2 linked regions of the Diceros bicornis minor genome follow. The protein of the gene in region 1 interacts with the protein of each later gene in a pairwise test. Links are inferred from orthologs where the notes say so. Each region holds a gene or a part of one and is shown on either strand. Other genes may lie near its edges.

The links. The genes of interacting proteins can lie anywhere in the genome.
Region 2: the proteins of TRIP6 (region 1) and METTL17 interact in binary tests that used the Homo sapiens proteins (3 or more experiments, as listed by UniProt). The link is inferred for Diceros bicornis minor from reciprocal best matches to the Homo sapiens genes TRIP6 and METTL17.

Annotation. Positions count from the first base shown.
Region 1 is NC_080765.1:5,033,894-5,041,240, forward strand, and holds the start of TRIP6 (thyroid receptor-interacting protein 6), read right to left. Parts: upstream 3,018-7,347; 5' UTR 2,648-3,017; coding exon 2,539-2,647; intron 2,262-2,538; coding exon 2,134-2,261; intron 2,049-2,133; coding exon 1,923-2,048; intron 1,639-1,922; coding exon 1,255-1,638; intron 935-1,254; coding exon 841-934; intron 726-840; coding exon 556-725; intron 129-555; coding exon 1-128. Other genes in the region: SLC12A9 (solute carrier family 12 member 9), read right to left, coding at 3,488-4,377, 6,320-6,466, 6,671-6,845, 7,017-7,209. UniProt on the Homo sapiens protein: Relays signals from the cell surface to the nucleus to weaken adherens junction and promote actin cytoskeleton reorganization and cell invasiveness. Involved in lysophosphatidic acid-induced cell adhesion and migration.
Region 2 is NC_080744.1:28,280,919-28,288,751, reverse strand, and holds the start of METTL17 (methyltransferase-like protein 17, mitochondrial), read left to right. Parts: upstream 1-4,818; 5' UTR 4,819-4,844; coding exon 4,845-4,925; intron 4,926-5,060; coding exon 5,061-5,214; intron 5,215-5,301; coding exon 5,302-5,436; intron 5,437-6,338; coding exon 6,339-6,420; intron 6,421-6,678; coding exon 6,679-6,760; intron 6,761-7,083; coding exon 7,084-7,157; intron 7,158-7,603; coding exon 7,604-7,698; intron 7,699-7,833. UniProt on the Homo sapiens protein: Mitochondrial ribosome (mitoribosome) assembly factor. Binds at the interface of the head and body domains of the mitochondrial small ribosomal subunit (mt-SSU), occluding the mRNA channel and preventing compaction of the head domain towards the body.

The sequences.
Region 1 (7,347 bases):
GGGATGCCATCGAGGCCGCGGTGGCACACCACACAGGTGAAGCAGCCAGGATGGTAGGCCTTCCCCATAGCCCGCAGGATCCGGTCTAGGATGGGTTGGGAGCATGTGGAGCACTTCTCCAGGGTGGCCTGTTGGGAAGGAAGGGAGGAAGGTTGAGGGCTGGGGTGACCCATGGCAGCCCCACAAGCATCCTGCCAGCCCAACCATCTGTTCGTGTATCCACCTGCGTGCGATTCAGTGAAAGGTGGCAAGTCTCAGCAATGCAGCTTCATGGACAAGTTATTTAACCACTCTGAGCTTCAGTTTCCTTCAGTAGTAATATCTGCCTCACAGGGGTATGGTGGGAATTTAACACTTTCCTTAACTCTAAAATAAATGCCTCACACTTGTAAAGGGACTGTGGTCCTTCCCTCCAGCAGGCAGTATTTAGCTACTTAAGTCCTCCATTCTTCTTGTACATCAGTTTTAGTCCCCTACCTTCGAGTCCTGTTCCTCTTTGGGGCTTGGACATCTAGTTCCCACCTTGGATGGAAGCCCCCCACCCCAACCACTCACCACGTAGCAGCTCTCACAATATGCCCTCCTCTCCACAGCATAGAAATGCTGGCCCCGAAGATGGGCCCGGCACGTAGAACACACAAAGCAGCCAACGTGAAAGACGCGGTCCAGGGCCACAACCCCAGCCCCATCCCCAACCACATCTTCTCCGCAGCCGCCACACCGGCCTGGGGACAGGGAGGGACAGGGTCAATCTGCACAAGCTAGGAAGCTGGATCGGCTGTCCCTCTGACTCTCTAGCCCCACCTCCCCCTTCCCACCCCACCGGTGGGGTCAGCTCACCGAAGTACTCCCCGCTGGGCGGGTGGTTCATGTCATGCACCAGCTTCTTGGTCAGCCTCTCAAGCTCCTCCTCGGGAGGCTGGCTCAGGGGCACCTGGGAAGTGAGAATCAGGGGTTCGGCCCTACCTCTAGCTCCTGACCCTGTGAAAATCGCTGAGGGTGACCAGGCAGTTCTGCCCAGAAAGCTCATCTGAGAACGTCTCAGCCCAGCGTCCAGGCGGCACACCTCGGGGAGCCAGGGTACAGCTCCAGTCCCCTCCGTCCTGTACTTCCTGACCTGCCCACACTCTCCGGGGATCTAGAGCTCCGACACCTCAGACCTCTGACAACCAGGACATTAAACACCACTCCTCACCCCGCCCAATCAGTGTCCAGTTGTCTGTGAGGACCCCAAACCCCATACACGGTGCTTACCGGGGGCCCATACCCGCCTCCTCTTCCTCCTCCTGCATGGCCAGAGACCCCGGCAGCCTCCTCTTCACTTCCCGGCCCTGGCTCTCGGTGGCTCCTATAGCCAGGCCCCCAGACTTCACCTCGGCCTGGGAGAGGAAAGTGGGGGCCCGGCAGGGACCCGGAGGCCTGAGAGGCCCCCCGCCTGGGGGGGCCACAGCCTTTCACTGGTTGTGCCACCTTCACTTGCACAGGGAAGGCAGGGCCGGCGGGCGTGCTTGCTGTTGTGTAGGAGGCCGGAGTGGGGCCCCCGTAAGTGGATGCTGGGAGCGGTGGGGAAGGAACACCCCCTCCATTCGGCTTCAGGGAGCCCACGCGGTAGGCAGGGGGCTGAGGGGGCTCATAAGCCTGAGGAGAAACGCAGACCAGGAGTGAGCTGGGCCCATTCAGGACACACACCTGTGGAAATGCCCCACCCATGTGTGTGGCACCCAGGTAAGTGCTGGTTTTTGACAACGGCCCGCCTTCAAGTGGCTGACAACCTAGCAAGCTCTGGTGGCCCAGCTTCTTCCACAAGGTAGAGGTGAGGGGTGGACTGGGTTGAGAATCCAGAGAAGGGACCAGGCTAGGGGGGCGGGTGGGGGGACAGGGGACAGGGAGCAGAGGAGGGACGGGGCAGGACAGGGGGTCACCTGCCGGTCAGGCTGCCGTGGGGCATGACCACGACCCCCATCCAGCTCAGCCAGCATGCTGGTCAGCGAATCTATCTCAGCATCCAGACTTCCTGGGCGCAAGCCCCCTCTGTCTGGGGGGAGCCCCTGAGGATGGAGCAGAAGCAGGGAGAAGCAAATCACACGGCCCTCTTCTCCTGCCCTGCCCTCACCCCCCCATCCCGGTTCTCACCTGTGAACGCTGGGGTGCTCCATGGCACCCCACCCAGGCCAGCCCCCGATCCTCTGGTCCCCCTGGGGCCTGGTAACACTGCTCAGATGGGAGACGGCAAAAATTGACCCTGGGGTGGGACTGGAGTGCTGCGGTGAGGGAAGAGAGAGGAAGGGTAGATGGGGAAGGAGACGAGGGTGACACTTGTGGAGGACGCCCTCTTAGGTCCCTCGTCTCCCCTCCCCCTCACCCCCCCCCTCCCGCACCTGGGCTCCGAGAATGGGACAGGAGGTGGGGAGGGCTGCGAGAGGGCAGGGGCGGCTAGTCCCAGCCTGGCTCCGGGGAAGGGGCGGCTGGGCAGGCTGGGCAGGAGGCAGGAGCCTCAGGGCAGAGGTGGCCTCCTGGGCCCACTGGGGACTGCCTTACCTGCTCCGGGGGCTGGTGGCGGCCCCGGGGCGCCCCGGGGGAGCACTCTCCCCTGAGGGGCTCTGACGGGCTCCAGCTGCTTCGGGGGGAGCCAGGTGGGCCCCGACATGGCCTGGAACGGGGGACCTCCAGACCGCGGTCAGGGCCTCACGGAGCCCTGAGCCTCTGGCCTTGACCCCTTCTTCCGTCCCTCGTTTGGGACTCCAGGAAAGAAACTTTTTCTGGCTTTTTTTCCTCTTCCTCCCCAATTTTGGGGATGGCCACGCCCCCTGTGACATCATCGCATTCCTGGGGGAGGGTCACGTGGCCCCCTAGGCCCTAAACTGCTGTCCCTCCCTAGTCAGCCCCCTCCTGCTGAGCGGGGAGGGCTTTCCGCGGAGCCGGCGTCTGGGAGGCTGCAGGCAGCCTCCATTTCCCCGAGTCCCCCAGGCCCTGCGCCCCGCGCCCCAGGTCCTGCCCATGGCCACCTCGACGCTGGGACGCTCTGGCGCTCCTCTTTCCCACATCCCCCCATACAGATGTCTCCCTCCTCCCGTCCCATCTACCCACCCCCCAGCAGTGCTCCGCCAGCCCGTAGTGTTTTGGTCTTTTATTCACGTTCAGCAGTTAGAAAAATAAAACAGAACACAAATATCACAACCTCAGGGGTCAGTGAGTCTGTTGGGTGAGGGGGAGACTGAGGTAGCCTGAAGTCACGAGCGGAGACCCAGCCCCGGACAAGGCACCGGTGAAGGGAGGGAGGCTGACGTGGCCAGACAGCTGCCCTGCACGCGTGCACCAGGGCCCCTCTCCCAGAGACAGCAGATGCCGCAGATCAGGATCACCTAATACCTCCACCTGGCTCCGTGTACCACGTGTGGGGCAGGCGGGGAGGCGGCCCTTCTCCTCCTCATCTGCTACTCAAGGTGGGCCTCCCGGCCTGGGCACCCTCTGCTTTAGGGATGGGGCATCAGAGATCAGTACAAGTGACGGGGGTGACGCCATGAATGAGCAGCGTGGGGCCCAGATCACGGCTCAGAATCTCCAGGAGCGCCAGGTATCGGGGGTATCGGGCAGAATCAGCAGGCGGCCGAGGCAGGTACAGGAAGGTGAGGGCAGTGGCAGGCCCCTCCACACCATTCCCACCCTCAGGCCCACCTGGCCCTCCTCCTCTGCCATGCGCCTGCTGGGCCCGAACCAGGGCGTTGGCGCTGCATGCCAGGGCCTCTGCCTCCGCGTCTCCCCGCCCACTGTTCACGAAGTCCCCTTCCTCCTCCTCCTCAGGCTGCCCGGACCCAGCCCCCTCGCCCCACACTACCTCCTGCACCTCAGCCCGGATCCTCAGCTGGCTCAGCAGTGCCCTGAGCCGCCCCTCGGCCGCCCCAGGGGCCTCCCGAGGCCCCAGGCACAAGAAGATCCGGAGCCGGGCACTGTGCCAAGCAGGCACCATGCCCAAGATGGTTGCCATCTGCAGCAGGAAAAGGCCGCAGACGTCTACATAGCCAGGCCCACCCCGGGGCCGCAGCAGGTTGAGGGGCCACACGTCCACGTGATGCGGCTGAGAGGTGCCCCCAGACCCCCGGCTCAGCCGCTCAGGGGGCAGGGCGCCACAGGCCCGGGCCAGGACCACATTCTTGTTCATCTTGAGGGCATCTGCCACCGTGGCCACATAGTCCTGGGGAGTGAGAGCCCGAGGGCTCCCAGGAGCCCGGGGAGGAGGGAACAGGGTGCTCAAGGCTGGGGTCCCGCCCTCCTGGGTGCCACCTGCAGGCTCAGAGAAAGCCGGGTCTGTCAGGAAGTGGTCCTGCGGTGCAGCATCATCATAGAAACCCAGGACCAGTGTGTTGGGCTTCATGCCACCTGGGGGCAGATAGGGGGAGGAGGGAAGGAACCAACAGGAGTCACACTCACAGGCAGAGACTGCCCCACGCTCATCCCTGCCCACTCCTACACGCTGACAAGGAAATGTGTCAGCCGTCAGGTATGAGATTCGCACCGGGCCTGGTCTCTTAAGGCAACATTATGCACATTTGCATGATGACTTTTCATTTTCCCAAACACTTGCACATGCATTTATTCGATTTACCTCCATGACTAATCTCCCCCACTTAAATAAGCAGAGGCCACCTTGGGATTCTTTTAACTAATGAGCACTTCCGGTCCATGGCAGTCAGATGCATTTGCTCCAAGCTTCTCCCAGCACACCTTTTTCATGATGGGAGATGAGTTTGACTCCCGGGGGCAGACCAGACCCCCTGATTAGTCAAGCTCATGGCCTCAATCCCCAGGGAGACAGCACCCGGATTCTGCTGGGGAAGGATGAGAACTCGGGCTGGGGCTGCACAATGCTTCCATGACTGCAAAGCCCTAATGATGGTGGGTCCAAAGCACCGTCCCCAGAGAAGAGACAGTTAACATCTGCCCACTAACCGGGGGCCACATGCTGTTGAAAGAAAGCACTTCGTGTTTTAACTCATCTGATCCTTGAAGCAACGCCACGAGGTAGGGACTATTTACTTCAACCCCTTCTACAGATAAGGCACAGAGCGGTGAAGTCACTTGCCCAAGGGCTCAGGGCTGGTAAATATGGGGTCGGCAGGTGAGCACAATGTGCCCAGCACCAGAACACACTCTCTGAGCCTCTAAGCTGGTGTGTGTACCAACCACAATGCCCCAGTCCCTGCCAGCAGCCGCTGGTTTTTAATTTTTGGATAACCTATATGGAATCAGATAATTCCCTCTTTAAAGGGCTGCATGTACAAGAAGGTGCTGAGACCTCTTCTGAGACTCCTTCTCGTGAAACAAATGGGTTGCTTAAAATCTACCAGGAAATCAAATTTTACTTGCCAGGCAAATTTACTATTTAGAGAAAACCTTTTCTGTTTTATTTGAATCGTTTCCCACAGGATACATTTCATGAAAGTAGTGGTTTGTTTGCACAGGTTTCCCCAAAAAAGGTGGGGCTGAGGAGAGACCAGGCCTTCAGGTGCTCCAGGGTCTGTCTAATAATGCTGGAAAACAACCCAAAACACCTCAGCAGGTGTGAACTCCAGCTGATCTTGCAAAGTAAGCTAGTTATACCCCCTCCTGAGCATTTTCCACGGTTCTGATTTACACCGAACAGGGCAATGTCCAACACTTGAACTTTAGCCAGATTCTAAATGGAGAAGGCAGCATGCACTCAGAGAGGGATTAAGAGAGAAGGAGGCAGCTAAGCACAGATCTGGAGGAAGCCTGGGTGCAAGGTGGGAGGCCTCAGTACTAAGACGCAGTCACAAAGCTGGGAATCCTCCACTCCATCCAAACGCATCAGCCCCATGCATCCCCCACATCCTCTGTGGTCTCTGGGGGCCATGTTACATCACTCTCTACTTCTCCACCCCTTCTAAGGCCCAGCTGAGACACCATCTTGTCACAAAACCTTTGCTGGCCACGTCAGCACATGGTGAGCTTCCTTTCTCTGAACTCGGGTGGTTAGAAACCTTCTGTCCTAGATTTGATGGGGCAGCCCCCAGGCTCAAATAATTCTCCCATTGTCCCCAGAAATACAACATGCTCTTCAGAGCCTGTGCCCCAATTTTTGGATCAGAAAAAAATAACAGTTGCCCCATCTTGAGTCCTTAAGCATCTCCTCTGAGGTTTTATCACACACTGTCTGTTAGCTTTGAGGCTGTGTCTTATCTGCACTCGACAGTGAGTACCTTTTGGAGTCTGCAATCTGTGGTTTATTCTCTGGGGGAGGGGAACAGATTGAAAGGGGCCACACAGAGGCCCTAGGGGGCCGGGGGAAGGAGCAGCTCACCAAGGCCCGAGATCCGCAGCAGATGCTGAGCTCCCTGGCGCACGGAGGGCGAGAGGGTGAGGTCCACGAAGGCCTTCACTTGGGCCCGGTCCACCAGGCTCAGCCATGCCCCGTACTGCGGCTGCACAGGGTCCGAGGGCAGGCAGTCTGCGGGGAAGGCAGGCAGCAAATGTGGGCCAAACTCATGTACTTTCTCCTAGAGTTCAAATCCCAAATGGGCAGAAGAAAAAGGTCTAGGCAGGGCTGAGGCTGGCTGGAAGGATCGTTCGGGAAGAACCACGAGCCTCTGGGACACAGAACCCAAAGAGCGTCTGAGACTGAGAGGGAGAAGAGGAGTGGGGGGCAACTCACCGAGGTCTCCCAGGGTGACGTGGCCCAGCACGTAGAGGCCCCCCTTCTTGAGCTGGTTGGCCAACCGCAGCAGAGGCAGGGCACCCCGGGGGTTCCCCACCAGGAGCAGCAGCTGGGGCCGCCAGAACTTCACGTGATCCTTCCGGACATCCAGCCGGAGCAGGTACTTACGCACCTGGGGACAGGAGTGGGGTGGTGGGGAGGAAGGGCTCAAGCAGGCGGCCCCCACTCAACACTTCTCAGACAGGAACCCCAGCTCCAGCCAAGGGAATGGGAGGCCTCCTTCAGGGGTGGGCATTCCCAGACTGCCTCCTCCCCTCCCCACCCTCCTCCAAGCCCCCTTGACCTGGTGGAAAAGCAACGCCTGGCTGACGTAGCCCCAGCTGCTGGGGCCTCCTCGAGCCGTGAGCAGGGCGGAAAGCAGGCCCATGAGAAGCAGGGAGCCGCCAGCAGCCCCGGGGCTGATAAGAAACATCATGAGCAGACAGGAGGCCACCCCCAGCAAGCAGGTGTGCCAGGAGAACAGGCTGAAGGTGGGGCTGGGAGTGGACGGAGAGAAGGAAGGAAACTCAGGGCCTGAACACCATGCCACTCCACTCCAACCCCAGCCTCGCCCTCTCGTCCGTGTCCTTCCCATTCCTTTCTCTTTTTCTCTGGGGACACAGGCATCTTATTCT
Region 2 (7,833 bases), on another chromosome or scaffold:
TCACAGTTCAGAAGCACTCTCCTAATTTCTGTTGAAGGTACATCAATAATATCAATGACCTCTGGAAGAATGTAGAGGACTAATGGGAAAAGTTGATTGGTGTTTACTTCAGAACAAAGGAGAAGGAGCAGGCTGCTCCAGCTCAGAGAGAGAGAGAAAGAGAAAATAAGGAGAAGAAGGAGGAGGAGGAGGTGGAGAAGGAGGGAAAGAAAGGAGGGAGGGACAAAGGGAGGTAGGGAGAGAGACAGACTGGCTTTCTGAAGACACAGCTGAAGCAACAGCTCAGAGGCAACATTCTGAAAGGAAGGAGTACCACATTTCAGGATGCAGTGTATTTATTAAACCAGAGACCTCTGAATAGTACTGTGTCCCCAATAGGAAGAATACATGACTCAGCAACCAAAGAGTAGAGGCAGGAATGGCTCCACTTACCGTCACTACCATTGACCCACTGGAAAAATCTGTGCTTTCATCTCTGTAACTCTGGGCTCTGCTGAGTCAAAGGTCTAGGTCCCCAAAGGGGATGCTCTCTTGCCAGGTGACATATCAAGGCTCCCATTGAACTACAGTCTATAACTGCTGCCAGGACACTTTGGATTTCTTGGGTCTAGGGACCAGCAGATGAAAAGAGGAGTTACCATATGTCAGGGCTAAGTAACCCTAATCAGCAGGAGGAGGCAGGCTGCTTTTACACAATGGGGGCAGAGAGGAATTCATGTGGAACCCAAGTGATCTACTTGGGTGCTTCCTGGAATTCCCATGCTCCACTGTAACTGTGAATGTACATTTGTAGCAACCTTAGCCAGAGAAAGATATGACTATCAAGGGTTTAGACCCCTCAAGAAGGAAGGTTTGGGTCACAACACCAGATAAGTCACTAAGACATAATGACATGATAGCTGAGGGTAAGAGGAAATTAGAATGGATAGTAAAGGAGGGAGAGGATGGGTGCCAGTTACAGCCCTGGGATCAAATGCAGTGACAGTGGCTATAGTTTGTCCCACTAACCTCCTTCTTCTATATTTCCCTTCAGGAACAGAAGCCCATATGAAGCTTGAAGGAATTGTCCCTTGAACCTATCTGGAGAAGTAGATTTGTGTGGCTTTAGGGCAGCTATGAAAATGCACTATTCAGATCTCCTGCTGGGGGGATCATAACTGACCAATGGCCCTAACTGCCACACTGGTGAATCTGCTCTGCCTCCCATGGGCTGCTCTTAAAAGATGACTGAGTGCAGCAGAGATACTAAGTCAGGCCCATTTCCAAGAGATGCAAGACTCCTCCAACAGCCACCTTGGGCTCAAAGACTCTCCATCAGCCTGGTTGAAACTTTTTTAGAACTGTGCCTATCCAACGTGTTTTCGTTCCCTCTGTCTTTCACAGAGGTCAGACCTGCTTCACAGTCTGACAGCTCTTCCTATCTCTTCTTCTCCCCCTCTCTTTCCCCCTCACAGGCATTTCGCCCAATACGTGTCTTACAAATCGAATCCCATCTTAATGTCTGCTTCGCCAAGAACCTAAACTAACACAGACATGTCCACAAAACAGATTAAAACTGTAATCCATGGTTTCAAAAAAAGCTAAGAAAATAATCCAAGACATGAAAGAACAATAAGCATCAAAATTAGAAAAAAACTCAGAAAAAAAGGTGACACATTCAGGAGAAGTTACAAATAAAAGTAAAATCCTTTAGAAGATAAAGACTGGGGGCCAGCCTGGTGGCGCAGCGGTTAAGTGCGCACGCTCGCTGCAGCGGCCCAGGGTTCACAGGTTCAGATCCCGGGCATGCACCAACACACCGCTTGTCAAGCCATGCGGTGGCGGCATCCCATATAAAGTGGAGGAAGATGGGCATGGATGTTAGCCCAGGGCCAGTCTTCCTCAGCAAAAAAAAAAGAGGAAGATTGGCATTGGATGTTAGCTTAGGGCTGGTCTTCCTCACAAAAAAAAAAAAAGAAGATAAAGACCAACCTAGAAAATACACCAACACAAACACAACATAATGCCATAAGAGAATAGAAGATTTAAAAAAAGGAAAATAACAAAAAGAAATGAAGCAGGAGATAAAAAGGATACTATTTGGGATCTTTGATGGCAGAATTTCTTTAATTTCCCAAGAAACTTATTGCAGTTGCTTTACACCTTCATTGTTGAGAGTTTCTCTGAATCTAATTATTAGTTATTTCCCTTTTTCATGAACTCAGTGGAGAAAACCAGTTGGTCATCATCCATCTCCAACCAGATTATCCAAATCTTCCTCAGAGAATCTTTTTTATTTTCCCTTACTTAATTTGGGGGTGGGGGTTATTTCTCTTAATATTGTCTATTTTCTCCACATTTATGTCTGTTTCTTTTAACGTAGAGCCACTAATTGGAAATACTACCCAAGTCAAGGTATGACCAATGCTAACATGGCAGAATTCACGGATTAGGTGTGAAATGGGCTCATCTATGCATTTGGGGAATTGTGACCTGGTCAAACGATTAGACTCAGATCCTCAAACTAGTCTATTCTGCTGACCTTTTCCAAGCATGAAAACAAAGAGGGGTCATTTTATCAACATAATCAACAAATATTGATTAAGCATTTTCAATGCACCAAGAATTGTGTTCACTGTTTTAGATGTCTTGAGGACATCTTTGATCTATGAGGAAGATGGTGTGGACGTTTTTGTTTTCTTTTGTTTTTATGAACAATACTTTGGATTAAGAACAAAGACACTTAAAATTAGGTCTAAGTCAGCTTTTGAGATGTTGTATTACCAAAGGAAGAGAACAATCCCAATTAGGCCAGTGCTAGAATGAAGGAGGCCACAGCTATGTTGGCAGCTTGATGGGAAAAACAAGACGGACATTCAGAGGCACCACCCAAGTTCTCCTGCTCCTTACTCCTCAGTCTCCACTGCTCAGTCTTACTTGGCCCCAAATATCCCCACTTTCAAGTCTGTCTTGGAAATAAAACATAAATTTATAATAAAAATTAAAATGTGGGGCCAGCCCCGAGGCTTAGCGGTTAAGTGAGCGCGCTCCGCTGCTGGCGGCCCAGGTTTGGATCCCAGGTGCACACCGACGCACCGCTTCTCTGGCCATGCTGAGGCTGCGTCCCACATACAGCAACTAGAAGGATGTGCAGCTATGACATACAACTATCTACTGGGGCTTTGGGGGAAAAAAATAAATAAATAAAATAAATAAATAAATAAAAATGTGATTATGTCCCTTCAAGTTCCCAAAATACATGATCACATATATGATAACAATATCATAAATATATTGAGCATTTACTTTGGGCCAGACATTAGCTCATGAAATCATCATTCCAATAACCCTATGAGGTAGCAACTATTATTATCTTGCTGCTCTAGAATTCAAATTCAAACTGCCAGATTCCAGGTGCCAAGCATCTTATCCCTATGTTCTGCTACCTCCCTATGACAAAAAATAACATAGCCAATCTTATGCTACAGCTAACCTACAGTGACAGGGATATTTTATTTTGCTAATACTTGAGCCAGCAATTTAAAGTAAAAGCAAAGTGTCACAGACATGAGGCTAAGTGTAGCACTGTGAATCAAAGCGTGGGGAAACAAAATGAAGAAGGTGAACCTGAAAGGGAGGAGAGCAGTGAGTAGGGAATTTACAACAGTTGTCCTAAGCACCCCTCAAGTCTCCTTCCAGAGTATTCAGATTATAAAGCAAAGACCTCCTTTATTAGAATCAAAGCTTAATAACCTAAATGCAAACCAGACATTTAACTCTCCAAATGATACAGTTCCCCATATTCTATCTATAATTATCATATCTGGACTCTTTCAGTTACAGCAAAGGCAACAACACTTCTATCCTTCCAGCCAACAGATTTCTATCTCAAAAGGTTAAGATATACCAGAGTTGACTAATGTGTTTGCTATAGGAATCAACAGGTTACAACACAGTGAGTTTGTTTTAATGCTACACGGTAACTGAACACTTCAGAACATTTAGCATATTGTTCTTAGTTAACTTGCTAACTTGCATTCCAAGGAGCAACAATGTGAGGTAGGACTTATGTTTAAAAGTGAAGCTCAGACTCAGACTGCCTAGGTTTAAACCTAGTTGTCACCTAACAAGCTTTGTGATCTTGGGCGTGATATTTAACCACCTGAGGACTCACTTTTCTCAGCTGCAAAATGGGGTTAACAACAGAATCTACCTCATAGGATTGTGGGGACTAAATGGAGTAATATTGCGTAAAAGTGCGTGCCACAGTATCTGGCACATAATGCTCTAAGTGTCAGCTATTTATCAAAGAGGGCCGGTTTAATATGAAGACAAACTAACATGTAAAAAACATTAACTCTATTAACTATAAATCTCTGTTATCTTCGGTCACCTAAATCTGGTTTTTCATATCTCATCTTTCCGTTACTCCATTCTACTCTTTACACAAAGGGAAAAAAAACTCCAAGGCTTCAGAGTTCTCCGTAGTGAAAGCAAGGAGCTCAGGTAATTATTACACCCAGAAATAGTCTTTGCCTGTCTAAGGCGCCTTTCTAGAGACTCCAGGAAAGGGCCCTTCCCCACCCCGCCCCGCCCCGCCCCCTCGATGTCTGGACCCGGAGACCAGTCCCAACGCAGCCGCGACGCCACCTCGCTTGCGACTAGTTACGTGGGAACCGAGGTCCAAGTCCGATCCATGTACAGTTACTCTGCAAGGTGATTTACATATCTATTGTTTATTGGCTACCAGCAAGCACTGGCTCTCTTCATTGGCTAATACTGCCCGGTGCCGCTGTTCCGCAGGGCATGGTCCCCGCGAGGGTCACAGGCACCTACATTTCCGTTTCCGGGTCGCCTCGGGAGCCATGGCGACCGCGTTGGAACTGAAGTATCTGCAGACATTAGGCAGATGGCGCCGCGGCCTTGGAGTACTTCCCCAGTCTCGCGTGAGTGCCTGCTTTTCCCTGTTCTCGGAGGGACGCTGGATCTCTGGGAGGCGCTCTCGGCAGCTCCTCTCTAAGCGAACGCCCAGAACCTTGCCTTCTGCCCCTCGCAGTCAGCTTTCTTTTCCCGGGCTGCAGGCTCTCGCCGCCCTCGTGCCCGGCGTATCCCAGGTGGATAACAAGTCCGATTTTCTGGGGAAGAGGCCCCATCGCCGGCACCCTGGCATCCTGCAGCTGCCGCGCGTGCGGCTGCCGCAAGCCCTGGCTGACGCCGCGCAGTTACTGCTGCTCGGTGAGTGACGGTGGAAAGGGAGGCTCGAGAAGAGGCGGAGACTGGGGCTGCCCGCGAGTGATGCCGCTTTTCATCTTTCGCCCGTAGAGAGGTCTATGCCCAATGTGGAGAAGCAGGTGCAAGCACTGACCAATTATCTCTGGAGCCGGCATTTACCTATAGAGCCAGAGGAGTTGCAAAGACGGGCTGTACATCTTGAGAAAAAATTCTTGGAAAACCCAGGTAGGGCTTAAGAATAAAGAGGCCAAATTGAAATATCGGTGAGAAGTGAAGAGCAAGAAATAATATTACCGTCTCTCAAATAGATACTGCGTTTTCTTGCTTGACTTTCTGGCCAGAGCAGTTATTACAATGACGTCTTATCAAGAGAAGAAAGATTATTTCAGAGATTGCCCTTGGGGCTTTGGTAAAGGTCAGCGAGTGCTTCAGTATCCTGTTGAAATCTAGATGTTTATTTGTGTCCTCCAAGTCCGCTGGATTAGGACCGTCTAAGTTTTTATTCAAGTGAAATAAAGTCCCTGTTTGGCTCCCTGTCCAGTACTGGAACCCTCTTCAGGGATAGGAGAATACTAAGTATAATTTGTCAAGTTATTTTCATGATTGTGAGCTCCTGCATATTACAGACCTACTTTTTCTTCGTCTTGTATTCCCTGCACTTCCCACAGTGCCTGGTTCATAGTAGGTGCTCAGTAGATAAAATAGTACTGAACTGAACACGGTCATGAGGCTTAAGATTTTCAAGCCCCTTTCCTCCCTATAGGAACATTGGAGACATCACAATCTTAAGTGTGGGAGAAAGGAGGAAATCCACAATATATTGTCCTTATCCAATCCTTTGATTCTTTACCATACTTCCCTTGAATAAAGAACAAAACCTGTGGGATAGGGTTGATGGAGTTGAATAAACTGCTGGTAGAGGTAAAATACTATCTGATGCAATCTGTTGGTGGTGGTAGTCATCGTTATTCTTACCTGAACTTTTTCTCTAGGTTTGGCTTCTCTCCTAAGCTTTGAGGCTTTCCCTGGTGGGAGTTGGGGAGGAATGGGCAGGCAGTATATTCAGATACTGGATCTGAGCCCTGTTCTTCCTAGGTCCTCACTTCCAGTCCTTGTTCTCACCCCAGACTCATCTCAGACAGAGGAGAAACTTTGTGGAGCAGTGCTGCATGCCCTGCGCAGAACTACCTACCACTGGCGAGAACTGAGGTAAGGGGGACTAGAAGGGCTGTAGAAGAAAGAAAAGTTTGACTTCAGAAGGAGAGTTGGGGAAGTACAGTTACACAGTTTAGTGTTTGAAAAAGCTGTCTGGTTTGTAAGGCTCCCCAAGAATCTTCTCTGTTGAGGAGTGAAAGTGTTGAATTGGAAGAGCCCTTTCCAAAGATTTCGTTTCCTAAAAGTCTAGAAGATAGCTATGGGATAGATAGTTATTTTCCAGTGGGTATGACTCTCTGATTTTCCTGGCAGCTACAATGAGGGACTGAGCCTGGTGTACATGGCAGCAAGACTGGATGGTGGCTTTGCAGCAGTCTCCAGGGCATTCCATGAGGTGAAAGTCCCTCAACTTCAACCTGAACCCTTTTACCATCAGTTCCGTGATTCATAAAGTAGTCTCCTGGGATAGGATTCTTGGGACATTGCATGTCCATTTCTTTCTTTAAAGAGGCCCTCTTTATCCTCTGAAAAGATTTGTGACCCAAGAAAGATTTAGAATCACTCTTTTAGGAGCTTCCTATCCTATAAAGTATTTACATTGAATCTCAAAACACGTTCACGTCGCATCTCCTCTATCGTAGTCCCCTAATTCATATTCACCAAGGCTCTAAATAAGTGTCTATTTACCCTAATGTGGGGTGTTATATATTTCTTCAGATCCGGGCCCGAATTCCAGAGTTCCAACCACAAACCTTGATGGACTTTGGTTCGGGTACTGGTTCTGTCACCTGGTGAGTATCTTTCTCTGTCAATTCTAGCTCTGGAGAGCCATGCCTACACCACTTCAGTATCAAGACACTGTGGAACCAGAGGGAGAATAGGAAAGTTGGGAACTAGAATGTTTCTTGCCTCATGTTAGGCAAGGCGTAAGATTATGGATTAGGGCCAGAGCTTAAAAGAAATGTCAAGTAAAAAAGACGCATGTTTAGAAAGATAAAAAAGGAAAAGAATTTAGTCTAGGGTGTAGGTTTTACATATCATCAAAATTTTTTGCCTACAAGTAGTTTTTTCAGTCTGCCTTTTTTTTTTTAAGGAGTTATAAACGAAAATTGTTAGTTTTTCCAACTATTTTAACATAACACTCTGTTTCAGCAGGGGTGGGGTTGGAGGTGGAGTGGTCTCTTGTAGGGATGACTCATTGTCATGAGAATTGGCGATTTATATTTTGCCATCTTAGGGCTGCTCATAGTACTTGGGGCCAGAGCCTACGTGAATATATGTGTGTGGACAGCTCAGCTGCCATGTTGGATTTGGCAGAAAAGCTACTGAAAGGTGAGGACAAGGTATAAGAAGGGCTTTTCCAAAGTTGAAGGAGCTAAGAAAGCAAAGGAGTCCTAGAAAGGGTGTTTTATTGGGGAGTAGAGGAGAGGGCTAAAAGTTAAAGATGAATCTGATCTCCTTCCAACA